6 linked regions of the Neurospora crassa OR74A genome follow. The protein of the gene in region 2 purifies or fractionates together with the protein of the main gene of each other region. This does not show direct contact. Links are inferred from orthologs where the notes say so. Each region holds a gene or a part of one and is shown on either strand. Other genes may lie near its edges. The genes, in order: hat-2, NCU07289, NCU17030, NCU03114, NCU03311 and NCU06314.

Region 1 (5,085 bases), on a different chromosome or scaffold from region 2:
TGAGACGATTAGCAGGACGGGAATGGTGAGGTGGTTTCCGACTTGGAGGCGGGTGAGCTCTGTTGTCTATATGTTGTTTACAGTTGTCAGTGACAGTTTTGTTTTGTCGTTTTAATGGGTCATGATCCATTGTTGTACCTTGTGGGTCTTGATATGAGCTCTCCATTGCAGGCCAAGGTTTTCGGCTGCTTCGAGCATGCGCTCACAGTTCACCATGACCTGTTTAAGGTCAAGGACGACGCTGGGCGTAGGGACCTCGGACAGCTGCTTGCCGACGAACCTCGCCCTTAGAGCATCTTGCTTTTGCTTCAACTCTTCCATTACGGGGTTTGCCATGGTGAGCAGTGTGGTATTTTTGCCCTCGAAACTTCACTTGGTGTGCGAGGTAAAGAAAACGGTGCAAAAGGCGATGACGAAGCTGCTATGGTAGACGCAGTATGACTGTGGCCCACAATATCGGCTGATTTGTTACATTCTTTAAACCACCTAATCCAGTCATCTCAAGAAAGAGGAATAGTACCTCTAGTAGGTAAATGTAGCTTTGGCTTTACCGACAGCCTAGTACGTAACCATGGCTTCGGCCGTGGCTTTAACACAGTTTCCCACTGTACGTCAAAAACACCATTGGTAGTGAGTGTACTGTTGCTGAACTTCATGGCCCTGCCAGTTCGCAGGGTATAACATCCGAACTGTCATGCCAAAAACGGGCTGAGCACTGGTATGGGCGTGCGAGTGTGGTTGCAGAGAAATGAGAATCCAGAGAGACTGGAAATGACATCTCGCATCAGTTCAGGTGTGTTCTGCCCCCCACGTTGCGGGTGACATTGTGGCCATTTGGCCCGAACAGAGAGGGAGACGGGACTTAAGTTGCGCGTCACTCTACTGTTGTAAGAGATCAATTAATCAGTATTTGATTTCGCTCTCGATTCATGTCTCTTCGCCTCCAACGGGGTCCTATTCCTTCTGTACCTGCCGTTGATTTGGTTGTCACACAAGGCGGGGAAGCTTTAGTTCTTCCTCCATATTCTTTACTTTACCTGGATGGTACTTGTAAGTTGTAGGTGAGGTCGCATACCGTATAGACTCGGGGCGTTGGTTTTCAACTTTCTGGGAAATCAGGCCTAAGCTGTAAGCATACTGCAACATTCATGCCCACCAAAAATTCTATGCAAGACGGTGATTTTGAATGTCTCCACGCTCCAGCGCCCTTGAAAAGATAGGTGTTTTAAGGCAGGACATTGAAGAATCGAATTTACCGTGCTTCGGGGTGGCAACATGGAAGTCTCCTCCAATTAATTTTGTGGACATAAAATGCACATAATCGGGCAGCATGCTTACAGGTTATGCCTGATTTCCTAGGAAGTTGAAAATCAACGCCCCGAGTTTCCAGGTTGTACAGTTTAGGTATTAGGTACCTGGGCTACCTACCTCTACCTCTACCTGTACCTACCTACCTATTCCAGGTTCCTTACCAGATTCCCAAAGCAAGTTCCAGGTTCAACGCTACCTAGGTATTATGCTTCAAGACCAGGGACAGTGTGCGCGAGCCATTCACTGCACTTAGCGTCCCCCAGTCACTGCCCTGGGGCTGCTCGCTAGGTATCTAGAATAGGTAGGTACCTAGGTAGGCTGTCACACGGCTGCCAGACCCGGGCCCGGTCAACGGACCCACTTAGAGGTACCTAGAGTAGCCGTGCAGTGGCCCCGACAGGCCGATTCGTTGTTCGCATTCAAGCACGCTTGCACTCCGCGCAGTGGCAGTGTGCTTCCTTGCTTGTGGGAGGTTCAACACTTTTGCAACTTCCGCTAGGTACCGTTGCAACCTCAACGTCAACCTCACCCTCGACTCACCCGACGGCCATTTCGACTCTGCCACAACCACGACCCAAAATTGCATGCGGCGTTGCCAACACCCCACCAACACCGAACGCGCGCTTGGTTCACTTTGCTCCCCCGCCGCGGGCATTCTCGACGATTTCTCCGCTCCAGGATCATGATCTGACAGCTTAACCGGCCGCGCAACCGTTGGAGGGAGCAAGAGAGAGACGGGCGGACGACTGCGCGACAGACGACAACACACAGCGTTGAGGCGGCATCGCCTCTCCGCCCGGCAAGATGCCCGCAGACAACGACGACTTTGATTTCAACGCCCTCAATGAGGAAGGATGGAAGGAGCAGGAGGCCCGCGATGAGGAAGCCATTCGCCAGATCAACAACAGCTTCGGCCCGGGTGGTAACGATGGTCTGACTGAAATGCTGGGGAACCTCCAGTCGGGAGGCGAGATCGATCAACGAGGCAAGGCAGACGATGCCATCGACTTTGAGGACATCGACTTGAGCGACGAGGACGAGCTACCCAACGACGAACCGAGCACTTCCGGCACCAGTGGCGAGCTGCCAAGCCTCATCGACGACGCCGGCACTAATGATGACGACGACCTCTTTGGTGGCGACCCCTCATCGCCCATGGACACAGCTCACGATGGCCTGAGATCCTCTCCCCCGCCGCTCGACGTCCATGACGATGTTGATGCCAAAAAACGTCCGGATGCTGCCGCCGGGGAGTCCCTTGAAGACCTCCGGAACCTCAACTTCGACAATGACGAAGAGCCGCATGCGACAAATCAAGATCCCGACATTCCTCCGCCAGCGGAAAACTTCATCGACGCCGTCAAGCAACTATTCCCCGGTTTTGAGGAAAACGCCATCCTGCATTGGAACGAACTATTGAAGCCCAAGAATGCCACATGGATCTCAAAAAAGCCCCCCAAAGCTCCCAAGCCCTTGATACCATCAAAACTCAGTCTGGAGTTGGATGCCGATCAGGAAAAGCAGTTCCGGATTCCGGGCCCTGCCACTGGCTCCGTTTGGCAGAGGATTAAGGAAGCGGAAGCGAGAGGTCTGTTCTGTCTCGAAGAGCCAGAGCCTTTGGAACAAACCGATCTGGAAGTATTCAGCTTGGACGACGAAACGGATTCGGAGAGGATAGGTGGATATACCCTCCAGGACATAGCTACGATATGTCAGGACTGGGAACAGATGATTTTCTTGGGCGACAGTCTTGCGGCTGCCATCGAGCCGGGACCGCAGCCGAAACCTGACAACATGCTCATTAAGGATGAGCCTGATGAAGAGGCGGACTGGGATGCCATGTTCCTCGATGAGCCTGCTCAAAAGCGGAGAAAGATCGAAATTCCTAAAGGTCTTCCTCCTATTGCTCACTTCACGGCTCCAAATTTGGACGAATTCGAGCAGGTCACTTCGAAATTGGGCAAGCGTGTCATCCTTGACATGAACGACCCTTATTTGCTGATAGACGACGTCGAATCTGAGCGGTCATCTAAGCGGCGAAAGACCCAACATAAAACGGTCCGCTTGGCGAATGGGAAAGCTGGGCGGGACCTTATACAGCGGTTCAATTTCTCCTCTGACGCTGCTTACGACGCGTTGAAGGAGAACAGCCAGAATAGGGTTCGGGCCACGTTGGCTACTATCCCTGTCGAGCACAGTTTGCCTGCGCAGAGACTGTCTTGGCCTTACTACCGCGTCAAGCTCGCGGCCAGTGACCCTCATAGTTATCACCGGCCTCAGCTCCACCCTAAGAAGGATCTGCAGTATCTCATCAGGTTCGACAAGCCTGCCATTATCAAGCGCAAGACTCTCAAGGGTAAACGCGTCAGCGAGGTATTTAAGAGTACTCATGACCTCTCCCTCAACGACAACTCGACCGCTATCCTTTTCGAGTACTGCGAGGAAATTCCCACCGTTCTCTCCAACTTTGGCATGGGACAGAAAATCATTAATTACTTCCGTCGAGCTAAAGGCGCTGATAGCAGACCTGAGAAGCGTGAGCTTGGCGAGACTTGTATATTGATGCCAGAAGATCGCTCACCCTTCGCCATCTTCGGTCACGTCCACCCTGGCGAGGTCGTGCCTACTCTTCACAACCACATGTTCCGCGCCCCTATTTTCAAGCATAACCCGAGGAATACAGACTTCCTGATTGGTCGTAGCAGTACCGGCCAAAAAGGCTCAACTTGGTACATCAGAAATATCGATCATCTTTACGTTGTCGGCCAAACCCTGCCCTCCATGGAAGTCCCAGGGCCCCATTCCAGACGTGTTACAAACATTGCCAAGAATCGTCTCAAGATGGTCTCGTATCGCCTACTTCGCAAGAGCGAGCATGTTACCCTCCATGATATTACTAAGCATGTAGCTGAGTCCAACGAGTCTCAGAATCGTCAAAAGTTGAAGGAGTTCCTGCGCTTTAGAAAGGAAACAAAAGATTGGGCGCTGCCCGAAGGCGAAGAGCTAATGGCCGAACCGGCCATTCGATCTCTTGTTAGGCCGGAAGAGGTCTGCCTATTGGACGCCATGCAAGTGGGCTTGCACGAGATCGAGAAGGGTGGTTATGATGCTACCGATTCCCTCAAGGACGATGACATTGGGGTTGATGTGAACGATGAGCTCTCTCCAGATGCTCTTGCCAACAAGATGGCGCCTTGGAAGACTACCAAGGCATTTCTTGACGCCAGTCATGGCAAGGCTATGCTTGCAGTTCATGGCGCCGGCGACCCGACGGGCAAGGGACTGGGCATCAGTTTCCTGAGGACGTCCATGAAAGGCGGCTATCTTGAGCAGCTCCAAGGACCAATGGCCACATCAGCAGATGCCATAGAGAGGCAGCGCAAAGCGAACGGTGGGCACATGTACAACGTCAAGAACCAGGACACACTCTACACCGAGGCTCTTACCGATATCTGGAACCGCCAGCGGGAGAGTCTCTTGGATTCCCAAGAGCACGATGATGAAGATGTGCTTGGGCAAGAGGATGAAGACGAGCGTTTCAACGTACAGGGCAGCCAATTCGCGCAAACCCCTGTGGTCCAGGACGGTTTTAGTCAGATTAGCCAGAGCGCCACCAGTGCTATTAACCGGAAGAAGCTCGTGATCACAAGAGAGGTGAGGGATGAAAATGGCCAAACACGGACTGTGACAGAGGTCGTAAGGGACCCTGCTGTCATTGCTCAGTACGTCAAGAGGCGTCGCCAAGAGCAAAAGTCCGAGATTGAGTAGGTTCCC
Region 2 (5,200 bases):
CTCGTCGTTGATAATGTCGAGAACGGTACCATCTTTGTCAATGGATTGCTGGGTTGGTTGAAAATGCTGGCCCTTGCGGCCGCCTCTGCCTCTCCATCCTCCGCGACCGCGACGGCGAGGAGCGTTTTCGTCACGATTGGGGGGTTCGATCGGCAGAGTGTCCCAGTCGGGAGGTCGGTTCTTGGGTGGTCGCCCCAAGCGTCGGCGGCGGATGACAGGCTCTGGGGGAGGGCTTGGGCTCTTGCCCGACTCGTCTTCCTCTGGGGCTTCCTCTTCCTCGTGTCCATCACCACCCGACTCATCATCCTTCTCGACATCATCCTCGCCGTCTCGTTGTGATGGTTCGGCGTCGTCTTGATCGGCATCGGGCATAGGCTCATCCTCGTCGTCTAGGCCTTCGAATGTCTTTGGGGTGCTTTCTGGTTGTGCATGGCTTTGATAAGTAACTGCTTGTTTGAAATGGAAGGATTTGCGCGTGGCTGCTGCATTCGTTGGAGTGGACCACACAATATGGAATACATTTGTACAAGCAAAGGGAGGGAGGAAATGCCAAATGATAAACGATGATGAAATCGAGTAACTTACCGAGGGCCTGTTGTGCGCGTTTCGCGGCTGCGCGGCCTGATCTCCGGGAAGGCATGATTTCGAAGCTAACGTATTGTATGCTTGGCGATAAACTGTGATCGGGGTTTGGAGTGTCGGCGCAGAGCAAGGCGGACGGTTGAGTTGTGTTTGGGGTTTGGAGGTGACGATGTCAAAATTACTGAGACGCGGTTGACAGGTGGGAGACGTGAAGCCGCTGCAGTCAGTCCTGCTAGTGGTGGTTTGCGTGTGAAGCGACTGCCCATTGACCCACTTGGCGTGTACAGTGTAGTGGTCAAGCGCACTGTGAATTCCTTTACGGTGCGATGACAAAGCCCTTCAACCAGATAAACCAAGCACTGTACTGTGTAAGTCATCCCTTTGAAGTCCTGGATTCCAGCTTATGGACACATTCGACAAACCTGTCTCTTCTAGACTTCATGTTTTCCATATGGGGAGTATTGATATCTTGTATTAACTATCTTGATTCCCCAAGTCCCTGTCGGTGCCAAGTCAAATAGCAAATAACGAAAGAATTCCCCTGAATGCCTCGAGGAAAGATCAACTTTCAAACCCGAAAATGCCCTTCCGATATGCCTGGGTAAGTAGAAGCTGATCGATCTAACCTCGTTTCCCATTTTATGCTCATAGTGTGCCAGGCCCCTTTGTCCTGCCGCGCTGCAACCAGCCTCCGCAGCCACCAGCCCTATTCTGGGCATATGATAACCTGCTTCTCTTCCGACCACCAATATGCTTCCAAGCTTCTCGAAAATCCGGACGTGCCTGTGGATCGTCTTTTGCCCGTAAACCAAAGTTTAAAAGCCACCACGTTCTCAGTAGGATAACCTTGTCATCTCAGTGAGGCTGACCACCCTGTCAAGCTTAAGAAAACGCAATGCTGTCACGCCGCGATTCTGTCCCGTGGAAATCAAGAAGCGGAGCCGCCCACCAAGAGCCAACGCTCTATCCAAACTACCCGCGCACCCGAGGCCCCTAGTTCGCAGGAAGCTTGTCGAGGTTTGGCACTCCCTCAGGGAAGATCTCCTCAAGCAGCTTGTCCTTCTTGTTATAGAGGAGACGATAAGCTGTTTTGACGGTTCCGTCACTGACACCAGCCACTGTCGCAATCTCCTTGGACGTACGTGACTCGTTCCTGATGTGGGATGCCATGTAGATACACGCAGCGGCGACGGAAAGGGGAGAACGGCCAGCCAGCTCCGAAATAGTGCTGGTCTTGTCGGCCAACTGGCGGGCAACATCCTCGACCGCAACTGAGTTGCGGAAATTGAGGTTGCTGCAGTAACGAGCGCAAAGCTCGGTAGCTGTAGTAGATCCCTTGCCCTGGTATTGCTGGTTGAAGGTGGGGATGCTGGTCGTGATTGCATGCTCCTCGCCTCCGATCTTCTGGAGGAAGGATTCCAACTGCTTGAAAACCCTGCCAATCTCCTTCTTCGAAACCTTGGTCAGGCTGTAAATCTCGCGGAACGTACGCGGCACTCCCGTTTGGCGGCATGCAATGAAGATGCACCCAGCGGTGATGGCTTCCTGAGACTTGCCCTTGAGGGCCTTGTTGTCCTCGACGAGCTTGTAAATGTGCTTGGCAGCATTTGCCACCTGGGTACCAGCGTTGATGCTGTCCGTCAAGCCCTGGATATCGCGATAGGCCTGCATAAGCTGCTTGGAGTTCTTGTCCTGAGTGATCTTGTTCTGAAGGTGGGACAGGTTCTTGCCGTTTTTGCCATCGAACGCGATAGTGGTCTGGAGCTGGTCACCATCGATCAGCTGGTTGGGACCATCACCAACACGAGAGGGGTCATCGTTGCCCTGGTCGTCGTTGGAGAAAGTACGCCACTCAGAGCGGGTATCGATGATGCGCTCGCCCAGCACAAGACCGCAGGAGCCGCAAACCATGTCTCCTGACGAGAACTCTTCGACAAGGTGAGGCGGATCTTCCTTGCACTCTGGGCACATGAGGAGATTCTGGAGATTCTCCTTGAACTTCTCCTGTTGCGGAGGCTTGGGAATAATGAAATCGGTCATTTTGGGCGTTGTTCAACGGTACTGTGTATTTGTACTATCTGGAGGAAATGGGAAAATCGTCGTGACCCAGGTGAACTGCGGGTTCAAGTTTCTGCAGCGGATCCAGAAGCCGGAAAATAAAAAATGGTCGAACAAATGTCGAAGGCGGGGAAGGTGGCGCGACGCCCAAATTTTGATGGATTTGGTGCGTCGCTTTGGACGAGAGAGATCAAAGCCCTTTGTTGCAAATGGGCTTGTCTCGCTGAATTTGGACGTGACTGCTCTGGTGTACCAGTGAAGGCGTCCGAGGAGGCACTCGAGTGAGGTCGCCGCAGAACAGAACAGTCGGGTCACGGTCGGTACGCTGATAGTGTTGTCGTCGGGGATTACAGATGCTTCGATGGACTTCAGATCGAGCGCGACAGAACCTACGGGAAAGCGGTCGAAATTGAATTCCTTGGTTCCGACTTCAACAACGACAAAAGAATTTTGTCGGCAGCGTCCTTTCGATGGATGATTTGTGGTTGAGCACGGCGAGCGAGCGAGCGAGCGACAAGCAGTGACGGGTTGACAAGATGTGCGTGGACGAAGGGGCGAGGCGCGGAGTCCTGAGGAGAAAAAAAAGAAAGAGAAAGAGAATGGAGGTGGGAAAAGGCCCAGTCCGGCTGCCTGTTGTTGACCTGAGTCGCAGATAAGTGGAAACCCTCCAGGGAAGGAAGACTGACGGGCCGGCTCCGGCTGTTTGGCTGACGGTTAGGTAGGTGCGGTTCGGCCTGCAGAGGTAGGTCCGGGTACGTAACACTGGCAAACAGCCGCTGTAGGATTGGCCCTAATCGCTAATGGCCCCAGTGACACCTCAGCAGGCACCAAGGAACTGCATGGCGCGATCTTGCTTCCATTCAACCTGGACGCCTTGACCCCAGCTGCTGAGCCCCACATAGGTAACCTTAAGTACGTAGCGACTCGAGGCGGACCGTTCCTTATTAGGGCGTGTTCGTCGACCTGGAATGAATGGACTTGTTTCAGAAGAGGAAATGGTTTTTCTTGGGGATATGGTCCCTGTTAGGTACTTCGAGAGAAACGGGCTGATTTTTGATCAAAGTCCCTCTTTGAAGAGAAGCACTTTCTACTAACAACTTCCAACTGCTCATTGGACCTGCAAATGGCTTAGAAATTCTAGCGCTTGATATGAGCCTCGCCGCGGTCGAAGGGCTAGACTTGGCGACCAAATTTCCAAGTCCGATCCCCAACTTAAAGCTCTTAGTTGAGATAGTTTCAGATATGGTGGTCACGGGCAGAATGCTTTTGACTGCTTTGTAGTGTACTATCTCTCGACTTCCAAAACCATTTCCGAATCCTGATTTCCAGGTCGACGAACACGCCCTTCCCTTGGAACAGGGGAGTTCCCCACCTTCCCCCGTGTTGCCACTGCATACCTTCAGCCTTACAAAAGAAAGGCCATGCATCCTTGATGGTTCTCGGACGGACTTTCCGAGACCGGACGTTGCATCGACGGAGTTCAATCCGGAGCCCGGGATTCCACTTATTTATGGACGAGCCGCATCGCATCGAATCGAACCGACACGTTCTTCCCCCACACCAATCTGCTTCACCTCTGATACGATACAGGGGACTTGAAGACTGCCACGCCAAACCTGCATATTAGACAGCATCTCGTAACGGCTCTTTGGGGTCCCTGCGTCTACGAACAACGATAGAACGACCTTCGAATCCAGGTACTACTATCCTTGCGGGAATCACCAGAAATTTATAGTAGGTTGAACCTGTGGACTAAGTGGGCTGTGCATGAGGAACAAATAGGAAGATCGTGATCTTATGTTGGTGGCCTAAGTAGCAAGCTACACCAGGCCTCTTGATAGGAACTGAAACTGACTTGTGTTTCAGGCCCCCCCTCGTGTCTTCCGTAGAGAAGTCGCTGTCAACGTGGTGATGGACTTCGAAGCCGGATAGTGTACCCGTTCCCAAGTCACTCGACAGTTGGAAACGGCATGTTCCTTTCAAGTCACGGCTCCTTAACACCAGCAGCATCATCGGCCAGCAGTCAAAGCGCAAAATCCACTCGAAAGCAGTGGCAGTGACAGTAACGGGAAACCACTGACAAAGAAAAGGAACCTCGGAAAGGATCCGCGAAAAAGATCCGCGTTCCCCGGTAAGAAAGCCATAAACCCCAAAAACACCCACACAAAGAAGATTGTCACCAGCCCGCTAGCCACTCAATGATGTTGCCGTCATGCCACAAAGAACACACCACTACACAGCCGTGCTGTCATCCTCAACGGGCCCTCTCCCCAAGCCTCTAATTTTGAATGATACCGCAAGACTGACACAAGTATAAGTGATCTCACATCCCCACCCTATCCATGCCTCCAGTTATACGTAACAACTCTTTCGACACCACGCGTCTACAGACTTCACATCGTCTTCGAAAACAACACAATCAGAAAAATGCCACACCCCCACCAAGCCCCCGAGTTCTCTTTCTACGTCACCAGCCCCGACAGATCTAACCCCAGCCCTTCCAACTCTTCCACCTCCTCCAACTCTCGTTCCAAATCTGCCAACCTTAACTCTGGTTGCA
Region 3 (5,056 bases), on a different chromosome or scaffold from region 2:
GCTGCGATCCGACGCGACCTCCTCTTCATGCTGGACAGACTGGGAAGCCCAAAGTCATCGTCACCATCGTCTTCGTAGGCGTATACATCGTCTGCGTCGTCGGCCGCCCAGTCTTCGTTGGTGCTCGTTATGAAATTCATGTAGTTTTGGAAAGGAGGTGATGTCACCCCTTTGATATGGGGCGAGGCTGTACTATTGGAAGTGGTTCGGCCGAGGGCAGAGGACGAGGGAGGAGGGGTTCGTGGTCGCGATCCGGCGTTCGACAGATTTCTAGTCCAAGAGCGCCATAGTCAGCAAAGACGCCGTCGTTTCCCAGAGAGACATCCAAACAGTAACGCCGGCACCAACGCACAATGAATCAAACTTGAGCATGTCGGCATGGGAATAGGCAGCGCCAACGACCTTGCCCGAGTCGCGAGTGGTCGTCTTCTTTAGCGGGGCATCCTTCTGGGGCGCTCTCCAAAAAGGGGAGCCAGAGCTGTCGCATTGTCCGAGTCATGTCAGTGTTTCCGTCTTTGAGTTTAGGAATAGGACTTGGGACATACTCGGACCTGTCTGAAGCCATGACGGGACATGGGATCAGCAACTGGTTATACAACAAACAACGAAAGAGGGGGGGGTTGTAGTCATCAGGCAGGACATACCAACTTGCACCATCTCCTGCTGGCGTAGCGACATCATGGCCTGTTAGCATCATTGGAGTGAGGAAATGAAGCACTAACACGTACCTGGGGAGACGCTTTCTTGCCCGAGCTCGAAGAAGAAGAAAACATTATGTGAGTGGGTAGTATACAAACAGGACTGGTGATTTCGCCTTGGTTTACCAGCGCAATGGCATCACACCATGGTCAACAATGTCGTTCGTTGAAAGGGACGGAGGGAATGTCCATGGAGCTAGACAGGCAGACAATGGAAGTGGCCGTTCCTGTTCCCTTCAATTCATTGATGGCGTGGTCGTGTTAAGCCCATCGGCTCGTTTCCTGGGTACACAGCGGTTGCCAGGCTCGGGGCCACTAACAAACACATGGCTTTTGGCAACCGGGCACGTCCAGGGCATCTTGCCCATCATTCAGGTCATCTCATCTCGGTGTCTTTGCCTTCCTGTTCCAGCAGTGATTGACTTCAGTTGGACACCGTCCGCCTGTCACAGCTCGCCAGCTGTTCGCCAGCCTCAGACGGGCAGCCGATGTCGCTCACAACTTGAACCACTACAGCGCATGGGCAGCCCACCTCAGAGGGTGTGATAAGGTGCGCTGGACTGGCACCCCCTTCCCCGCAGGTACACAGGCCTCGTTGTATAGGCTGTTTCTCACCGCCTACGCGCCTAGAGGTAATTGGCCCTTGCAGACCTACCATAGGTACCTACCTCTAGACACGCGACTGCCACCTAGGTGGGCAAGGGAAGTGCCGTAGAGGAGTCATGTAGAGGTAGTACCTAAGGTAGGTAACGTCTTTTTGTTAGTACCCGACCCCAAGTCTTGGTTGCCGGAAGCGCCCCAACTCGCGGTGCCGGTGCCTTGAATCGGGGTCCACACCCGACCGAACCTTAACACTCGGCGCCAAACTGAATGGGACTGCAGGGCAGCGGCGAGGGGACTGAGGCAGGCAGACTGATGGAGTTCCAGGTCCGGTTTCTTCACTTGAAAAGCAAACGACGTCCACTCTTCCACACTTTCCACCTTCACTTTTCTACCCAAGTCAAGTCATCCTCGACAGCAGCAATCACAACCACAACCGACGACTTCATTAGTTCACTTGTACACCCAATCCGTGCCCAAATTCGGGTCTTTTGATCTGAGGGAGGAAACTGTACAAGCACCTGACGGACTCGACTTCCACCCACCTCGGGCTCTACTTGAGCTGCTCCGAGGTCCATCCGCCGCATCTCTTCTTGCGACGAGACAACTCGACCACTACGATCCATTCGCGTCTCGCTGCTTCTCGACGACTAGACCATCTTAAGTTGTGTATTCTTTCTGACCTTGTTCGGCCTGGTCTACTTCCAGCAATCCTTCCCCGCCCTACGCCATCTCAGCGTTCCACACAAATACCAGTCTGAATCAACCTCAACTCTCATCTCTTTTCCATCTTCGATACCCGGTATTCAAACACACAACAACCGCCAAAATGGCCGAAGCAGAGAATTACGAGGATGACCTCTTCGACGACCTGTATGTTATTTTGAGTACTCGCGTAACCACCCAATCTGAACATGATCTGACACTCTTGCGAACTAGGTACAACGACGACGACGCTCCCGCTGCCTCAAAGCCAGCCGCTGCACCAGCTTCCGCCCCCACTACAGCTCAGACTTCAGCTACTGAGCAGCCTTCTCAACAACAGCAGCAACAGCAGCAACAGCAAGAGCAGCAGCAACAAGCTGCCGCCGTCCAGCAGTCGGCTGCTGACAACTACGGAGGATCCAACGACTACAGTCAGCAAGGCTACTACAATGGAGGCAACGGACAATACGGCAACGATGAGGAAGAAGACGAAGACGAAGACGATATCGACTTCAATCTCGGAAGCGGCCCGTCCACCACGGTCGCTCGCCATGAGGACGACAACAACAACCAAAACAACAACCAAAACAACAACAACAACAACAACAACAGCCAGTCTCAATCGCAATATCATGCTCCCCCACCGACCCAGGCCCAACACAAGGGCCCCAATGCCAAAGAAGATGGGTAAGTCACATCCCCTTGATGCTATTCGTGACACACGTATATGCTCGTAACATCCCCCAACCCCCGTACAACCCCTCTCTGTATCCTCGATTTCGCCCCGACGCAGCTGCAGCCCCGCCCAGGCTCTCCCACATGAAGAGATGAACACCTACTCGAGACCCGCTCAGGACGTGGCGTCCCAGAACTGCTCGGTTGGCTGGTAGGGAATGGAAGGATTGGGCGGCGCAAGGACCTGATGAGCACAGTAGAGTCTTGGTATCAGACACTCTGAGTTACTCTGGCGCGTATGGGTGAACCATACCGTATGGATGCACCAGGGGCTACAAGACTGCAAGTGATCAAAGGCAGGAAGGGATCGCTCTCCGCTATGGACGTGAACATAAAAATCGGGAGAAAAGAGGCTGGAAGCCGTGGACTTGTCCAGGGTCACGCCATGGATCAAGCTTCGACGTCAGATTGATCCCGGAGTACGCTCCTGTCTGTACTACAAGAATGGTGGATGGCCTTGCGGAGGTAATCTTAATAGGGCGTGAGGGAACCGGCTTCCTTTTGCCAGGACGGTCGATGAGCCTGCAGCCAGAGCAAGATTAGCAGCGAGAAGGGCAGCACCCAGAACAGATACAGACAGTACCTAGCTTGACGGTAGCAAAGAGCTCGAGACAGCAAAAAAATTCGAAGAAAGATTCCGGCACACCCAGAGACCACTTGGAAAGTGGAACATTGCTGCGCTGCTGCATCTTCTGTTCACTCTGGGAACTGCCGTAGCATCCCCCCACCCTGGCCCATTTCCGTCAAGTCAAGTCAGCATTCGGCACATTAGGACAGCAGTCGTCTCGTCACCCTTGAGAACATCGCGGAGGCGGCTTCCAACTTCTCATTCGCCAAATGACAACCATCATACGGTCCTCGGTCGGTGGGCTCCGCCAACCTGCGAAGCCAACGGGAGAATCACATCCATTGCCACACCCACAGTCAAAACACCAGGCCCAGTATAAACAAGATGAAGGGTAGTTCTTCGGATATTGATGGTGGAGCCCATGCTATGTCAAGGATCATGACGGTAGACGGTCCATGTGGTCGAACTAGAGGTCTGGGATAGACATTACCTGAGGCTGCTCAAGTCCTGGCGCAACGGCTGGGCAAATGGGCTTGCTTCCCCAGTTCACGCTATATGCACGCGCCTCTCCAAACAACGGCTACAAACATGCTTCCGCATCACACTGATTGGTAGCTCTTGGGTTCGCGTGTAGCCATATGCGGATTCGCTCAGGATTTGGGTGTCTAAAGGGCTAGGCGGCTGGGGCTGTTTGCTTGATCACTCGCAATGTCTTTCTCACATCCGCATTTCATCTCATCGAGCCCACACATTCTTCACTGCCCTCATGTTACGCTTACTTGTTCATGTCCAGGTATCATAGATTGCTCAAAAGATGATGTTGACTAACGTCTTGCGCGTGCGCTTGTGTCTTATAGGAAGATGTTCATTGGTGGCCTGAACTGGGAGACTACAGACCGTAAGCCTTGCCATTTTCCCTGTCCTCTCCTCATGGTAATTGTTGCCCTCAAGGGGCACCATATGTACCATATGGTATTCGTGACAGTTGTACTGATACCGGTCTTGTGACTTTTTAGAATCCCTGAGAGATTACTTCTCGCAGTTCGGCGAGGTTGTAGAATGCACCGTTATGAGAGATGGCGCCACCGGTCGCTCGCGTGGCTTCGGATTTCTTACCTTCAAGGACCCAAAAACAGTGAACATTGTTATGGTCAAGGAACACTACCTTGACGGCAAGATCGTACGTTTGCCCGCCATAGCTCGTCTAACCCGTCAAATAAGTGGCCACTAACTCATTCTCCTTATAGATCGACCCGAAGCGCGCCATTCCCCGCGATGAGCAAGAGAAGACTTCCAAGATCTTTGTTGGTGGCGTTTCTCAGGAGACCACGGACCACGAGTTCCGCGAGTACTTTGCCCAATTCGGCCGTGTCGTCGATGCCACCCTCATGATGGATAAGGACACTGGCCGTCCCCGTGGTTTCGGCTTCGTCACCTTTGAGTCCGAAGCTGGCGTCGAGGCGTGTCTCTCTGCCAACCTTGAGATCCATGGTAAGCCTATCGAAGTCAAGAAAGCCCAACCCCGCGGCAACCTGCGCGAGGAGGCTGAGGAAGCTGCGAGACGCGGCGGCGGCAAGTTCGGCCAGCGCCGCAGCGGTCAGCAAGGTGGTGGCATGGATGATGGCTCCGGTCAAGGCGGTATGAATGTCATGGGCGGCATGGGCGGCGCCGGCACTGCCGGTATGACCCCCCAACTCATGGCCCAGTATCTCCAGCGGATGCAGCAGGCCTTCCAGATGATGCAGCAACA
Region 4 (4,533 bases), on a different chromosome or scaffold from region 2:
AATGCTTTGCCTTGTGCTGTCGAGGCGGGGAATACGTGTGGTTTTTGAGGTCCGTCCGTGTATCGTAGATTCGTAGGGCTAGGGAGACGGTAAACTTATAGCGCCCAATTGTGTAGATGAGGCATGTAGCTGTGTGGACCACGGACATCGATTTGCAAATGTTTGATGCTTGCAAAGCGGCCACAACTACCAACGGCTTGTTCAACGGTTCGCTTGTCCGTCGTCTGAAGTCTCGGAAATGTAAGGGCTCTGGATTCTGAGTGTTTCGGTTTTAGGCCGAATTCGTTAAGGGATCCCGTGTGAGGGACGCAATGTAGAAAAGATAGTGGTGAAAGTGTGCGAAGGGGCACACTGGGGTAGCAAGGTGGGCAATTGTCAGCTTAAAGAGCTTGTATAGACATGGAGAGGCCTTGTGTGGTCGGCAAGCTGAGATGAGCGATTGCGAGCTGTCAATATAGACAGGGTATGGTGGGAACGGAGGGGGATTCGAAGAAAAGAGGAGAAGAAAAAGAGGCAGAATCTCAGGCAGGAACAGGTAGGTAGATTTGGGGGGGGGGGTGCCGCATCAAGTTACTACCTCTACTTACGACGGGATACCTCTAGTACAACTTGGACAAAGTTAAGCGCGCTGCCGCAGGTTTACTCCAGGTTTAGGCCTGCTCCTCTCATTGGCAAATAGCAACCGCTGGTCACCTGCAATCAATCAGTCGAACCTCTGAGGACGGGACTCGGTCGCCTTGGACCAACATACCTAACCTCTTTGCTTATCCTGTTAGTGTCGACCTAGACGATGGCTGGCAAATTTTTGGGTAACGAATCGGGGTTAGGTATGGGGGGCTCAAAAAGTCCACTTCAGAGGACAGCTCTCGTTGACAAAGGCGGGCAACTTGCAGGACACACTGCAGTTTCTGTGTGTCAACCACGGAGATTAAAACTTGAATTTGATTTTACGCCCAAAATACCTCTACGTTCTAACACATATCGAAACAGGATATACCACGCGGGTAATACTGCCATTTGCAAATGTACTTTCTACGTGTGCCTCTATTGTTGGTTAACATGTTCCAACGAAGAAAAACTTCGCACGAAACTCTCAACTTCCCGTCCCAACAGGGATGTTTATCACTGCATGTTTGTGTCCACCATTGGATGTTCTCGATGCCTTCGATGTGGGTGATTGGCTCCGTGAATGCGTCCCGAACAGCAACGTGGTACCCATGGAATTTCCCAAGGCACTAGCTATGAGTTGCGCATTCCCTGTGTGGGACCTTTTAAGAAAAGTTATTGAAAAGGTAAGTTCCAATGTTCTGTGCACGATATTCTACAGTGCATCGATACGCATGGTGACCGAGGCTCGAGGCCCGTGAGGTTTGGGTCCTGGGAGAAAAAAAAAATACCTGGGGATCGTCTCACTGTGATTCTGCAGTGCATATCCGCGGACCGCTGCAGACTCGAGAGGTGGGGGAAGTTGACGAGAACGGAAAGAAGGGCAACGGGCTGCAAGACGCACGAGCCACCCACCATTTCACTCTGAAACACTGAAACGTTCTAATTTTGGAAAGCGGTCAGATGGGGCACTATGTGCGTATGACCACCACTTGTCCCTCGCAGTCGGTAACCAAACAGATTTGTTCCAAATTCCACATCCCACTTTTCACCGTCCAAAATCTCCGCGCCAGCAGCAACTGGTGAACAGGTTTGGACATCAACGACATTTAACAAGTTATATATGTGTGGTAGCAGGCTACCTCGACTAACTTAATCATCATCTGTCTGCGCTTTGCGCTCAGCTGAAGCTTGAAAGGTAATTCCTGCGCTCTTTTCCGCTCTCCCTTTATCAACCGTCTCTTTCCTTTATGATGATCTTTTTATTGGAGCTGTCTGTAGCCTGCTATGTCTGGCGTTTGATGACAAACTTTTACATACGCTTTTTTTATCTGATGTGTACCGAGGACAACCTACACTTTTGCACTTGCCATGTCTGTATCGCAGAAGGGAACGCATTGATAACTAACATTGGCATCTTGCGCTTTCTAGGTCTTTCCAGTCAAGCATGCCACATCTGCCACAGTAACAAGTTACCTGCAACTGCCGGCTATGTCTGCTGTAGATACCCCAACTGGTGCCGCGAGCTCATCGAAGCCGGACCAGAATGAGCAGAATGGTCAAAACGGTGGGCGTGAAGACTCTGGCGGCTTCAAGCTAAAGTTTTGCACCGTCTGCGCCAGTAACCAGAATCGGTGAGCAATTTTACGCATCGCATCGTCACGCAACTGGATGACCCCGTCTAACCCTCACCAGCTCCATGGAAGGTCACTTGCGACTCTCTCTTGCAAATTATCCCGTGATTTCGTTTGGTACAGGCTCTCTTGTCCGTCTCCCCGGGCCGTCCATTACACAGCCCAATGTCTACAAGTTCAACGAAACATCATACGATAGTATATATCGGGAGTTGGAAGCCAAAGACCCTCGCTTATATCGCGCAAATGGACTGCTAAACATGCTTGGGAGAAACCGCCAAGTCAAGTGGGGCCCTGAGCGATGGCAGGACTGGCAGATTGGAATGCCTAGAACCAAGCACAAGGATGACAAGGGAGCTGATGGCATGGAGGGCGGCGTAGCTGATGTTGTCATCACCTGTGAGGAACGCTGTTGGGATGCTGTGATTGAAGATCTTCTCAACCGTGGCTCGCCACTTAACAGGCCTGTTCACGTCATCAACATCGATATCAAGGATAACCATGAAGAGGCATCCGTGGGAGGGCGAGCCATTGTCGATTTGGCAGACTCACTCAACAAGATTGCTGCCGAGGAGCGGGAGAAGGTTGGCGCTTCTGCCTTTGACTCGGGAAGCGTAGGCGCCAGATCAGGATTCGATGAGCGCGTACCGGACGTCCTGGCCGAGTGGCAGGAGAGATGGCCGAATCTTCCTGCGACATGGACTTTGGCTTGGTTCTAAGCATTGAATTGGCGTATTGTTTGAGCTCGTGCATCGTAAGGCGTTGGATGTTCTTTTTATTGCCTGGCGGGCGTAATCGCGGTTACGGACAGGGTGGGGGGTACATCTTTTTGGGTTCATGATTGATGACCAAACAACACAGACGAACAAGACGTTTTGGCCGTCACAACATAATGCTGATTTGGACTCGTAATCTCTATCAACAAGCCGTTGTTATCCGGGATTTATGAATTCTGCTGCTGCCATGATTGGCTTCAACTTGCTATTTTGTGAGGTCGCACCCCTCCTGGTTTTCTCAGAATATGTCGACCTCCGTGATTTGGCAGGCCATTTCCTCTTCCACCAGCCAGACCGCCAATTAAGCATTTTGTTTGTTACGCATATGCTTACTTCTATCACAAACATAATAATATCGCATGCATACATGCTCGGAGATGGGAGCTCATCGGCCCACCTGACGAGTACCCTGCATGGTATCCCAAAAAGCATTTTAAGATGACGAGCCGCACGGTTCATTATACGCAACATTGGATGCAAAGAAAACATAGCAGAATTTTGGAGATCTTCCTTGCTTATTGGGATCTGGGGTACTCAACGGTTGCCAGCATCTAGAAAATATCGAAACATGCACAACCGGGCAACCGGCCGTGCCCCCGCAGTGAGCAGGCCTACTTGTGACAATGCAACTAAACGCGCGAAGGTCAAAAATGAAATACATGGGGCTGTGGTGGCCATTGGACACACACTTGGAAGACGAAGACCATTAAGGTTACTGCTAATGCATGTTGTCACTACCTATCATGTTGGGGTGTTGGGCGGGAGTGCCCGAGGTCGAGGTGGCATTTGATGTGATGCGGGTATGCCTACATACCCATGTGGATAAATCTCAATATCTATATCGTCGGTCTCAAGTAAGAATTGCATTGTATTTCGGCAGACGATTGCCGGTCTTGGGCTGTTTCACAACGAGACGTTTTAGTGGAATGATAAACCACTGCAGCGGCGCAGAGTCGATCACCGTTGACTAACATGAGAGACCTGCCATAGTAGAAATGCGAAGGGGGCTTGAAGTTGGCGATCCCGTCAGAGATGAAGACGCATTCTGAGGCCAGGATACCATGTGAGAAAGGGGCTCGAAAGAGGAAGTTGTCGGGGTGTCTCACAAGACTATTTAAATTGCTCCCATGGGGAAAAGGGAACAACAGCTGCTCGGTCGCCTACTAAGTGCCAGGCCGAGATTGATATCAGGCTTTTGTTCCCACTTCCCACTGTACGTCGACGGCCGGGGCTAGGGCCCAGGAAGCCCGACATCGAGATGCGAATATGAGGGGATTCGAGGCCGACAAGGAATGGATCTGGGTCCAGTTCCCTCTCCATTTAGACCATGGTGGCTCGGTTCCTTTGTCCCAGTCCCGGTCCCGGTCCTTTCGGAATCCCCTCTAATAGCTGCGTACATATGTGGTTGTTATGGTTTTGGTAGGGCAGTGCTTCTTATCCAACAATGCCCGGCACTTTGCTTCTTTGTGCGACCGCATATATAATCTCAAACCTCAGTGTTGTACATAGAAGAAGTC
Region 5 (5,264 bases), on a different chromosome or scaffold from region 2:
GCCATTTTGCTACTGCACTCAGAAGACGATCCGAATTTCCCAACGGATAATCTCAAAGAAAAGTCTGAGGCCGGCGACGCAACATCGGCCGAATCTGGACGCGACATGCTCAGACGCGTGGGCGACTGCCGCAAAAAGGTGATGTCGCTTTACAGACTGCTCGGTAACAAGGCCGACGTCATCAAGAGCTTCGCAAAGCGTTGCAACGAGCATTGGGAGGTGGCGCCTCGGTCGGAGATCGGTCTGTACTTGGGTGACATTCAGGATCATATTGTGACCATGACTTCGAACTTGAGTCACTATGAGAAGTAAGTTGTCTCTCTAGCAATCCAATTGCTTCTCCACTAGTTACTACTTTCTAGCAAATTTCAAACCCAGAATCCTAACATATCATTCAACTTAGAATCCTAGCACGATCTCATGCCAACTACCTAGCGCAAATCAACATACGCATGAACGAGCGACAGGAGCAGACGGCTGACGTGCTCGGGAGACTCACCGTCTTGGGTACCATTGTACTCCCCATGAACATCGTTACCGGTCTTTGGGGCATGAACGTCTGGGTCCCTGGGCAGGGGAACGAGGGCGACCTCAAGTGGTTCACGGCCATCACAGCGGGACTGCTACTTTTTGGGTTTGGCTGTTATCTGATTGCGAAGCGTGTGTATAAGATTGTGTAAAGATACAGACAGGCACGCAAGCGAGTGAGTGGAGGCAAGTGAGGAGGGCTTATGATGTACCATACGGGTTCAACGACTATGTTTTGGACGAAAAGGTCAAGATCCTCTCATGTACTGAGAGAGCACATGTCTACATGACAGCGTTTTGGTTAATAAGGATGGGCAAAAGAAACAGAACGAAATACAGGCGTTGTGGGGTGGTGATGGCGTTTTGTGGAGTGAGATTGAATATCTGTCATTTTCGCGATTGGATAGACAGATGCTTCTAAAAGAATAAAGCGGAAAGCAAAGTCATGTAGTCCACAACTCTGTCTTCATCCCTTTGATGATGTGTGTCGTCTACCTGATCAAAGCTATGTCAGTATACATCGTTACGAAACTTTGACTTTGTTCAGCGGTTTAAGCTTCCAGACTGTGGCTGTTAAATTCACCGATATTTACCCTTTTCTATTGAACCTTTGCAATGCTCCCATTTAGAGTGTGAAACCGACCGCCACCACCATAACGCCTGACCAGCCTAGAAAAGAATGCATAACGACAGAAAAACAGGAACATGAGGCCCCAATACATATTTTTTGCCCATGTTCACGGAAAGTTGACTGGTTGAATCATCCGTCTGTCATATTAGCGTAGGCCCTGAGCAGAAAACTGAGCGCGAAGCGCCAAAATCTGCTGCCTCTCCGCTTCCTGCAGCTTGTCAATCGTCTCCTGCGGCAACTCCATAACGGCACGCATCAGCGCCTCTGCATCCTGCCCTGGGGCAGCAGCAGCAGCAGTCGGAGCTGGAATAGGAGCCGCGGCGACAGGTGGTGCTGCGTAGCCTCCAACAGGACCAGGGGCAACAGGGGGGGTGGCTATGGCGCCGGGATAAGCTCCGTACGGAGCACCGCCCATAGGGTTGGGGACAACGGGAGTACCCATAGGAGGAGCAGCAGCAGCGGCCGGGTTGTCGAGAACTGAGTTGATAGCGTCCGGCGAGACCAGGCCCATGATAAGGAGCGCTTGAAATATCGCGTAGCTCAGCTGGGGCGCTTGGTTGAGAAGTTCCGTGGCCCTAGCAGGATCGTTCGTCGCCAGCGTCTTCATCTGCTGGAGGATGTCGAGAAGTTGAGCCGGGGGAAGGGTGTTGAGGGTGCGGGAGATCGCGTCGGTGCAGGTAACATCGGGGGGAAGGTCTTTGCCCTGGGGCAAGGGTCCGAGAGCAGGAGGGGCGGCGCTGACGGGGGGAGCGGTGTTGTAGCCTCCCCCATTGGGAGGTTGAGCGTTGTAGCTACCGGAGGCGTTCTGATTCGACTAGGTAGGCCGTCATGGTCAGTGGATTGGGTGTGAAAGTGAGGTGAGTTGAGTTGGTTTGTGCCATACCCCGCCATCACGATCTCTGCCACCGTCTTCGTCGCTGACAGTCTCGTTGCTGAAATCGACACGCAGCTTGCGACCCATAATCTCGTGGTCGTTCAGGTTTCGTACAGCCGATGCAGCGGAATCTGGAGATCGGCGAAAGCTGATTAGCGTGTGCGCGGGAGAGGGATACTTGATTCAGAGATGGATACGCACCGTAGTCGGGAAATTCTGCGAACCCAAAACCCTTTGGCCTTCCAGTTTCACGGTCATAGACAAGGCGGAAGTTGAGGACCCGTCCAGCGCCGCTAAAGATTTCGGTTATCTGCTCTTCGGTAAGGCCTGCATTGTCCCTGTCAGTGGGTGGGCTTTTATAGATGGTCGTCGTCTGACCTGGACAGAAGCGGGTTGTCTGCGTACCATAAGGGATGTTTCCCACGAAGACCACACGTGAAGGTTGGCGTGTCGACATGGCGATGCGCGCGTTCACTGTCGAGCAAATATGTTGTACGAAGCGCAAAGTGTCTAGCAGTAGCGCTGCTGAGGGTGGAGAGGCACAATCCTGCGTGAGTTTGACTGCGAGCTGTGTGGGCTGATCGAATGGGAATCACCAAGCGAACCAAATGTTGGACAGGTGGGATGGGCAACCAGGAATTGGTATGAATCGATGGGAACAATAGGGACCGCGCAGGAACAGCGAACTTTGGCAAATGGATGAGATGGAAGTTAACACAGTCGTAGTTAGACTACCTGGTGGCAATTGGGTCCTCTTTAGCCTTTTCTCTTCAATTTCAAAGCCCAAGCCTGCTGCCAGATACCGTCGATTTGTAAGATGGGGGTTTGGTCGAGGTGGGAATACTCTGACAACGGGGAGAAGTTCTGGGAATGGAGTCAACCTTTTGGTGGCTGCAAATGGAAGTTTGTAGTTCTGGATTTGCACACGTCAAAAATTGGACTCTCTGTCGCTGTGTCGCTTCGACGATGGAATGCAGGGGCTATGTACGTCGCGGGGGTGGATACCTCTACTTGTCTCCGAGCTACGATCCATCAAGGTCCTGCTCCCGTCGCGACAAGCTATAGCGACCCACGTGAGCGTATGGTCTGTGCTTGACCAAAGTGAGACAGGCGGTACCTAGAAGCCCAGTTGCGCCAGTAGGGTGGTAGGCAGATGGCAAGTGGACTTTAGTGATGCGCCTCGCTTGTGGTTCTGCCTGTGGGTGGTCTTAGCTCCGACGCTGGAAAAGCTCGGGCAAGCTATCGTGACGACTTCAATCCCCATTTCCCCACCACATCCGTCAACCAACCCAGGGCTCCTACTCCAAATCATCTTTGGGCCGCCCATTACTTCACAGCAGCCCAGCATGTCGAACAACCCATATCAGGATCTCCTGAACAAGATTCAGCAGACTGCCCGGTCTCGCGGCGGCGGCGGTTTCCCAGGTGGCAGGCCCCCCATCCCTCCCCGCGGTTTGGGCCCTGCCTTGACCGGTTTCGCCCTTCTTGGTGGTGGTGCTTGGGTCCTTTCAAACTCCCTGTTCAACGTTGATGGTGGTCACAGAGCGATCAAGTACAGGAGAGTTAATGGTGTTAGCAAGGAGATCTATGGCGAAGGTTCGTCTGCTTTCGCCGCTTGGTCTCTATCTCGCTAGCCTTAATCGTTTTTCTGACAAGTTGAATAGGAACCCATCTCATGATCCCCTGGTTCGAGACCCCTATTACCTACGATGTCCGCGCGAAGCCCAGAAACGTGTCCTCCTTGACCGGTACCAAGGATTTGCAAATGGTCAACATCACCTGCCGTGTCCTTTCAAGACCCGAAGTCACGGCCTTGCCTCAGATTTACCGTACCCTCGGTACCGATTACGACGAGCGGGTCCTTCCTTCAATCGTCAACGAGGTTCTCAAGAGCGTTGTCGCGCAATTCAACGCCAGTCAATTGATCACCCAAAGAGAGATGGTTGCCAAGCTTGTGCGTGAGAACCTGGCAAAGCGTGCGGCCCGGTTCAACATCCTCCTGGACGATGTGTCGCTTACAGTACGATTCCTCCACCCGTTCTTTTGCGTCGTAGATATCTCTGGCTAACCATACCCCAGCACCTCGCATTCTCCCCCGAATTCACTGCGGCAGTAGAGGCCAAGCAGGTCGCACAGCAAGAAGCGCAGCGCGCAGCTTTTATTGTTGACAAGGCGCGTCAAGAGAAGCAGGCTATGGTGGTCAAGGCTCAGGGTGAGGCCCGTTCTGCGGAGCTCATCGGTGAGGCCATCAAGAAGAGCAAGTCGTATGTGGAATTGAAGAAGCTGGAGAATGCGCGTGCAATTGCGAACATCATCCAGGAGGCCGGCGGCAAGAACAGGCTGCTCCTTGATTCTGAGGGCTTGGGCCTCAACGTTTTCGAAGATCGGAGGTCCAAAGACAACTAAGCCGAGGCCTTTGGAAGTTAGAGAGGAGGAGCATGAGATGACGGATAAAAATCTCCGCTGTATATGTATCTTATGGATGTGACGGAAACCCCAAGTGTACAACAGACTTTAATGAACTTATCGGAAAGGCCGGATTTAGCGATGATCTTCAGAAAAGGAAGCTTTCGCAAAAAAGATATCCATCGAAAAGCTCGTCTGCAAATGGCCCTGTTTAGGTGCGAGGCATCCTCTCTATTAGTGATCCAAAGCGGTTATTCAACCTAGCGCGAAGGACGCCTCGTGGTGGATCAATGAAAGATGTTGATACAAAATCACCTGAGTTGCAGCTCGAAACATATTTGGTTCAACGGCGTTCCCCTCGGACAAAAAGTGAATACCTCTAGGTATGACCATTTCTACCGTAGGTAGCTTCAGCTCACAAAAAGACTCCAATATCTCAGTCAGCTACGGCCATGGATTCCTCTCCCTGATGTGAGCCGGTTAACAAGGCCGCTTTACCTCGGAGCACCTGTAGTGTCAAAGCTACCGAAGCTGCCCCGGCAACCCGAAGGGGTATCCAAACAACAAAAGCCAGGGCAGCCCCGTCCACAGCGGTGCCACCTACATAGTAGTGCGACCTCAGGCAGTCTCGTCCTACCGCCACGACGCTAACCGCGCCGGTAGTGCCTGCCCCACCACCCCTCCCCAGCCCGTCAACAGTGACCGTTTTCCCCGATGACCAACTCAACTCCTTGAACCGCTCCATTACCAAAATCAACCATCCCGATGCAGTCAGCTTCTTGAGTCAACAGAAGCTTCGCATCCACGCGCATACAGAGACAACAA
Region 6 (5,275 bases), about 1.6 Mb from region 2:
CTACGATACCCATTGTCTTGTCCTCCTGAATGCAGGGAATGCCTTGATTTGATAAAAAAGCCATCATGGGTACCCAGTTGGATGGATGGCAGGAACGACATTAGGCATTTTCCAACGTTCAACGTCCAACGGTTTTTTGATCAGCCATTTTCGATTGTGGCCGCCGAATGACTTCTTGAGAAGAGATTGATGATGGGAAGAGCCAGATTGACCACGTGATGTTATATGAGTTCTCCGGTTTGTCCTCCTTATACGATGACTACCAGTATTGCTCAAGGTAGATATCTTGTTCATTATTCAGCAAAATTCATGACGCTGGTCAGCTACAGTGAGTGGACAAAGAAAGCACAAGTTAGGCAATCTCCAACGGACGCTCTTTATCCACAACTTCAGATAACGAGCTAGCCTGCGAAGGCAGGCTGACAATATGAAGTCATCATGATACACACCCCAGACTCTATACCCATTCGGAAAGATGATGCTCTACGTACCATAAGAAACTACTGTAGGACAGCGATATTTATTCCTAGTGGAGGATGTACCTCTTTCTCCAGCAAAGTGAATAACCATTGCTGATAGAGTTACGAAGTAACGTTTTTACTGACTCCCGGAGGGGAGCATGTCAATGTACAGGAAAATTTACTTGCCATGCACATTTAACGGTGCCCTGGTGCCCTTGAATCCCCTTATATAGGTAACTCGTCACGCTCACTATGTGATTCTAGCGATAAGGTGAAGGTAAATGACCTACTGCATATAATGTCATTCGTCCGAATGGTCACCATCAGTATCATAGCCTCATGGGCCAGGATAGAAAACAAGAATAGGGGGAACCAACCATAAACAAATCGGTCACGTTCTTAGACGAGTACCAAACGGGAAGACTCTATACTATGTTACAACCAGCGTAAACACATTGCACATAACTTGTTTCTATTCCTAACAACGTTTAACTTGAGACATATGTATCTCGGCGTCTTTAATTTGATCTACTTATTACTGTGGGAAAACTTGGATGTGAGCTTTGCTGATATAGTACGATTACTTTCTGAAGCTGGTTAGGAACTCTCCATTTCGAGCAGAACGTTCAAAACTCTCAAGAGACCAAAAATCATGCTCTCTACCACGAAACCCATATCAATGAGTGACTGGTAGATATGAGTGTTGCAAAAAGCATACAACTGACTGATGCCTTGCGTTTTCAAGTACCAATAACAATGTTCAACAAGAATCAAACAAGCCACCAAAGGAGAATAACAAGGTACCAAATCTGTTCCCGCTCACTCTCATGCTAGTCAAAAGACACCCAAAAGCAAGAATAACAACAAACACCTTTACATGCCATTTTCACCATTTTCCATCTCGAAGCCCAACCCAACGCCAGCCGTATCCGTCAATTTTTGCCACACCTTCAAGCAAACCCGGAGATCATTTGTCTCTTGCAGGCTCAATTGGTGACCACCATCTCTCATCCGTACCCGTATCACGTTTCGGCGAGCCTACGCCAGGAGGTTGAGATACGGTTCCGGCCAGCGTCCCCATATCAGCGGGTGGTTGCCCAGCCGACCGCTGACCGGCGACAGGAACTTGACCCGCCTGCGCTCCTGGTCCACGTCGGCGATGACGATGAAGCCCAGGACCGAGGAAAAGCGGATGGCTTGCGGCGAGTCGGTCACGGAAGCGATCATGACTGCTAGCGTCCAGTGGGCCATTTCGGGGGTGATTTCGACTCGCTCGAGGACTGGGGCGCCTTCATAGGGTTCTGTTTTGGTAAAGACAGGCGTTAGCTTAGGTGCCAGGTAGGGTGAGGTAGTTTCAGTGCAGCGAGAGAAAGAGAGTGAGAGAGAGAGAAAACTCACCGTCAGGCGCCTTGAAAACGACTAGTTCGTCGAAACTGGCTGACTGTGTAAAGGGGCTCAAGCGCGCCTTAATGCCACCAAAGAAGTATTCCTTAATCGCCGTCTCTGTAGACTTCTGCCTCCACGCCTTGTCAATCTGTACAGCACCATCCGACTTGTCTAACCCGAGGACAGTAATCGGCTCTTCAAAGCTCGTCTTCTCGCTTGCGAACCGCTGCCCAAGTTCTGTCTTTAGCTGTTCAGAGCCTAGCACCACAACGAAGTTTGCTATAGTTGCATTGTTAGCTTTCGTCACTCTTGATGAGGTCTTTCTGGAGGCCAATCAGACATAAACTCACCATCAAACTGCCTAACCGCCCACCCCAACAGCTCCTGCCCCTCTTTGTCCCCCGCCTCCACCGGCGCCGTATCAACCAACAACCCCGCCACCCTCACATCCCGATTCCTCTCAAACTTGCGCCTGGCCAACACCGCCAGCCGCTCCGTCATCTGCCTCCACATGTCCACGTCGTCCTCCACCTTCTCGTGTCCAAAGTAAAATGTGAGCGGGTTCTTGACTGGCACCGCGCTGGGACCGCTGATCGGCGTGTTCGTCACGCCAAACCCACCCGCCGGCTCCTCCACGTCCATCAACGTGCCGAACACGGCCGCACCCAGCGTTCCGGGTAGACACAGCAGCCCGTCGGTCGGGTTCAGATTGGCTACCAGCGGCTGAGAGCCCATGCGCGTGGCGAGGGCAGCGAGGAGCTTCGCCAGCGAGGTCTTGCCGACGCCGGGTGGACCACAGATCAGCACTCTTGGCCCGGGTTTTGACCTCGCTACTCCTGCTCCTGCTCCTCTCCCTTGTTGCTGCTGCTGGTGGTGTGTAGGATGTTGTTGTTGTGCCTGAGCGGCCGCGGCACGCTCGTGGTCTTGGAGGCCAAAGTGGAGGTTGATATAGCTAAGCATGGGCGACTGTTCCGGCGGGTGTTCAACCACGCGGTCCTCGAGGGGGTAGCCGCCCGTGTTGTTGATCTCCAGAGTGCATCCTTGATCGGTGAAGAGCTTTGATTTGGTGCCGGGGAGAAATGTGTAGACGCAGTTGGGCGCGAGCTCAGTGCCATCGCGCTCAGCAGTGCCGGCGACGAGGCGGACGGTGACTCCGGCGGCGGAGGAGTTCGATGAGAAGGTGCTGTGTTGGTGGGGGATGGAGAAGCGCCATTCGCCGAACGGTCGGAGGTTAATGGTCCGCTGGGTGGTTGTGGGAGCCTGGATTACCGAAAACGGGCAAATGGCAGGCGATGGTTAGCTGGTTGTGATCTCGGGTCACGAGTGTGCCTATGGATAATAATGGCTTGTGAGGAGATGGTGATGCCGTTGGATACACGTGCGCGCCTGGGGTTATACGAAGCATGTCCGCGCGAGAGCTTGGGTTCGTTTACCTGCGGGGCTATCTGACCGAGGCCTGGAATTGACATTGCGGGCTGTGTTCAGCGCGTGAACGAGGTTGTTCACAGGCTGTTGGATATGTACTTGTATTTCGTTCTCCTTCTTGTAAGGTTCTGTTTGCGTTTGCGCCGATGGGGGTGAAAGTTGTAAAGTCCAGCCGTTGGCATGCAGGGATTCCAGGTTATTGTGGCATGCAATGGAACCTAAGTGGAAGACGGGGAGCTGATGCTCACTGCAGCAAGGCCAGGGCTGTTGAAGCTGAGGTGAGTTTAGCGGCTGCGGGCAGTGGGGCTCAAACGCTGTGTACCCTGAAGGTACTAAGCGTGTCAAGGGCATTCATTGAGGTTGTCTTACTCCAGACTGCCAGGTGTAATTGTGCTTTCCGCTTCCACTTTTCGTCCCAGTTCGAGTGTTTGAAAATCGAGTTAAAAGCAGCCCGTTTTAGTACCTATTGCCTCTAACCAGCTGCTGGTGAGTTTGTCAAATTTCAGTAGCATGTCTGCCTTCATAGCAGATTTTCAAGAAAAAACATTGAAACAGTAAAATATGGCATATGGTTCCAGCGCAAGTTGTGAATTGCTGTCACAGACAACAACAACATCAACAACAACAACCACATCCAGATACTACAATTACGTTCAAGTTGTGGCAAGATCGGATAACAGCGTACAACAAAAATAAGGGGTATATTGCGTGAAAAGAATTGCCGTCCCCCTAATAGCCCGTGTGGCTGGTTCCCCTTCTTTCAATGATGTTCGTAACGGACGTCAAAAACCTCTCCTCTACCTATGCATATATATTCGTATATGCTCTCTTCCCTTTTCGTCTCTTTTCCTTCCTCTAACCTGCCCGTGACATGCTCTAACCGTAGTCTCGCAAGGTAGCCCCAATTGCAATCCCAAACGCCTTGAAATGCCGCCTTAACTCCACGATTGCTTTCGGAAACCCGCCCTTCAATCATCTGCCAGCTGTTCAAAGATCTTGATCAAACTCCGAACGCCAAACAGAGCATTCTCGTCTGGGCCTTGCCCGGGTGTCCACTCGGCATGTGCAAAGTCAATGAGTTTGAGGGAGTAGATGCGAGGAATATCGCCGTTCGAGGAACCCGACATGCTGTCTGCGTCGGAATCGGCAGTGAGTTGGATGTCTTGGGAACCAGGTGCCTGAGCCAGGTTCGCCAGTATCATGTTTTGGCCGATGGCTGCGTTGATTGGAAACACCATCTGCCCCTCGTCATCCATCTCGATGCCACTATCAACGCGAGATGCAGATAGACCTGGCGTGTACGGTCCATCATCCTTCTTGTATTGCTCTCCCGACATGTCAGCTCGGGTCCGGTCAAGGGCAGCTCTCAACGCGTTGCCGTCTCCTTCGAATGTGAACAGCAAGCTCGCCGAGTACATTCTGCTCTCCTCCGAAGCCAACACCTCCTCGATGCGCTTTAGGTCATTGAGGAAGAGACCCGCAATGATCTTGCCAAGCTCCTCATCTATCCCGGCCTGAGAATTGAAAATGAACTTGCGCATCGCCTCCACAACATTGTCGGCATTGACCTCTAACCGGCCGTAATGCTTGTCGTAGACCTTATAACCCTGCTCGTCCAGCTCAGAGGGGTTGGTGGATCCCTTGTAAACGCGCATGCCGGCGATGCGAAACCCGTGCGAGCCATTGGTGGTTTCCTTGGTGATTATATCAAACCGCTCTTGCTTCGCCTTGGGCGCATCATCTGCCCACAGCCGCTTGCCGAGTTTAGCGTCCATAATGTTAGGACGCGTGTAACCGTATGCTGAATTCTCCAGCACCACCGACTTATTGGTCTCGATCTTTCTGGACTTGGCCTTTTCCGTCCACTGTCTGTCAGTGCTCGGCGCGGGGGACTGGGCGGCGGCCTCAGCAGCCTGTTCCTTGCTAAACTTGATGATCTCCTCTTTTGTTTCCTTGGAAAGTATTTCGGAAACAGCGGGGAGCTGTTCATCCAAGTCCCTGAC

Evidence for each region.
Region 1: the proteins of NCU07289 (region 2) and hat-2 purify together in Saccharomyces cerevisiae (affinity purification with mass spectrometry; 3 studies listed by BioGRID). This does not show direct contact. The link is inferred for Neurospora crassa OR74A from reciprocal best matches to the Saccharomyces cerevisiae genes SUA7 and TAF1.
Region 3: the proteins of NCU07289 (region 2) and NCU17030 purify together in Saccharomyces cerevisiae (affinity purification with mass spectrometry; 3 studies listed by BioGRID, with this or other methods). This does not show direct contact. The link is inferred for Neurospora crassa OR74A from reciprocal best matches to the Saccharomyces cerevisiae genes SUA7 and HRP1.
Region 4: the proteins of NCU07289 (region 2) and NCU03114 purify together in Saccharomyces cerevisiae (affinity purification with western blotting; 4 studies listed by BioGRID, with this or other methods). This does not show direct contact. The link is inferred for Neurospora crassa OR74A from reciprocal best matches to the Saccharomyces cerevisiae genes SUA7 and SSU72.
Region 5: the proteins of NCU07289 (region 2) and NCU03311 purify together in Saccharomyces cerevisiae (affinity purification with western blotting; 4 studies listed by BioGRID, with this or other methods). This does not show direct contact. The link is inferred for Neurospora crassa OR74A from reciprocal best matches to the Saccharomyces cerevisiae genes SUA7 and RNA15.
Region 6: the proteins of NCU07289 (region 2) and NCU06314 purify together in Saccharomyces cerevisiae (affinity purification with mass spectrometry; 3 studies listed by BioGRID, with this or other methods). This does not show direct contact. The link is inferred for Neurospora crassa OR74A from reciprocal best matches to the Saccharomyces cerevisiae genes SUA7 and CLP1.

The regions. Positions count from the first base shown.
Region 1 is NC_026501.1:2,719,683-2,724,767, forward strand, and holds the start of hat-2 (histone acetyl transferase-2), read left to right. Parts: upstream 1-1,738; 5' UTR 1,739-2,115; coding exon 2,116-5,075; intron 5,076-5,085. Other genes in the region: NCU16368 (hypothetical protein), read right to left, coding at 1-66, 139-336. UniProt on the Saccharomyces cerevisiae protein: Functions as a component of the DNA-binding general transcription factor complex TFIID. Binding of TFIID to a promoter (with or without TATA element) is the initial step in pre-initiation complex (PIC) formation.
Region 2 is NC_026504.1:4,507,627-4,512,826, forward strand, and holds NCU07289 (transcription initiation factor IIB), read right to left. Parts: upstream 3,293-5,200; 5' UTR 2,623-3,292; coding exon 1,576-2,622; 3' UTR 998-1,575; downstream 1-997. Other genes in the region: NCU07290 (nuclear localization protein), read right to left, coding at 1-419, 586-640; NCU07288 (hypothetical protein), read left to right, coding at 5,068-5,200. UniProt on the Saccharomyces cerevisiae protein: General factor that plays a major role in the activation of eukaryotic genes transcribed by RNA polymerase II.
Region 3 is NC_026505.1:5,320,483-5,325,538, reverse strand, and holds the start of NCU17030 (heterogeneous nuclear ribonucleoprotein HRP1), read left to right. Parts: upstream 1-1,512; 5' UTR 1,513-2,127; coding exon 2,128-2,171; intron 2,172-2,237; coding exon 2,238-2,690; intron 2,691-4,163; coding exon 4,164-4,204; intron 4,205-4,322; coding exon 4,323-4,486; intron 4,487-4,553; coding exon 4,554-5,056. Other genes in the region: NCU04241 (TBC1 domain family member 22A), read right to left, coding at 1-270, 353-478, 546-555, 645-663, 729-773. UniProt on the Saccharomyces cerevisiae protein: RNA-binding protein, which is involved in the polyadenylation-dependent pre-mRNA 3'-end formation and cooperates with the cleavage factor CFIA complex and the cleavage and polyadenylation factor (CPF) complex.
Region 4 is NC_026501.1:4,604,233-4,608,765, forward strand, and holds NCU03114 (SSU72), read left to right. Parts: upstream 1-1,639; 5' UTR 1,640-1,804; intron 1,805-2,037; 5' UTR 2,038-2,097; coding exon 2,098-2,240; intron 2,241-2,301; coding exon 2,302-2,959; 3' UTR 2,960-3,390; downstream 3,391-4,533. UniProt on the Saccharomyces cerevisiae protein: Component of the cleavage and polyadenylation factor (CPF) complex, which plays a key role in polyadenylation-dependent pre-mRNA 3'-end formation and cooperates with cleavage factors including the CFIA complex and NAB4/CFIB.
Region 5 is NC_026501.1:5,270,961-5,276,224, reverse strand, and holds NCU03311 (polyadenylation factor subunit CstF64), read right to left. Parts: upstream 3,025-5,264; 5' UTR 2,491-3,024; coding exon 2,439-2,490; intron 2,361-2,438; coding exon 2,235-2,360; intron 2,165-2,234; coding exon 2,043-2,164; intron 1,974-2,042; coding exon 1,305-1,973; 3' UTR 744-1,304; downstream 1-743. Other genes in the region: NCU03312 (CorA family metal ion transporter), read left to right, coding at 1-308, 404-680; NCU03310 (prohibitin-2), read left to right, coding at 3,380-3,629, 3,698-4,053, 4,113-4,439. UniProt on the Saccharomyces cerevisiae protein: RNA-binding component of the cleavage factor IA (CFIA) complex, which is involved in the endonucleolytic cleavage during polyadenylation-dependent pre-mRNA 3'-end formation and cooperates with the cleavage factor NAB4/CFIB and the cleavage and polyadenylation factor (CPF) complex.
Region 6 is NC_026504.1:2,942,881-2,948,155, reverse strand, and holds NCU06314 (hypothetical protein), read right to left. Parts: upstream 3,468-5,275; 5' UTR 2,808-3,467; coding exon 2,198-2,807; intron 2,127-2,197; coding exon 1,860-2,126; intron 1,763-1,859; coding exon 1,500-1,762; 3' UTR 1,020-1,499; downstream 1-1,019. Other genes in the region: NCU06315 (inositol hexaphosphate kinase 3), read right to left, coding at 4,241-5,275. UniProt on the Saccharomyces cerevisiae protein: Component of the cleavage factor IA (CF IA) complex, which is involved in the endonucleolytic cleavage during polyadenylation-dependent pre-mRNA 3'-end formation. Associates with HRB1/CF IB to form the cleavage factor I (CF I) complex.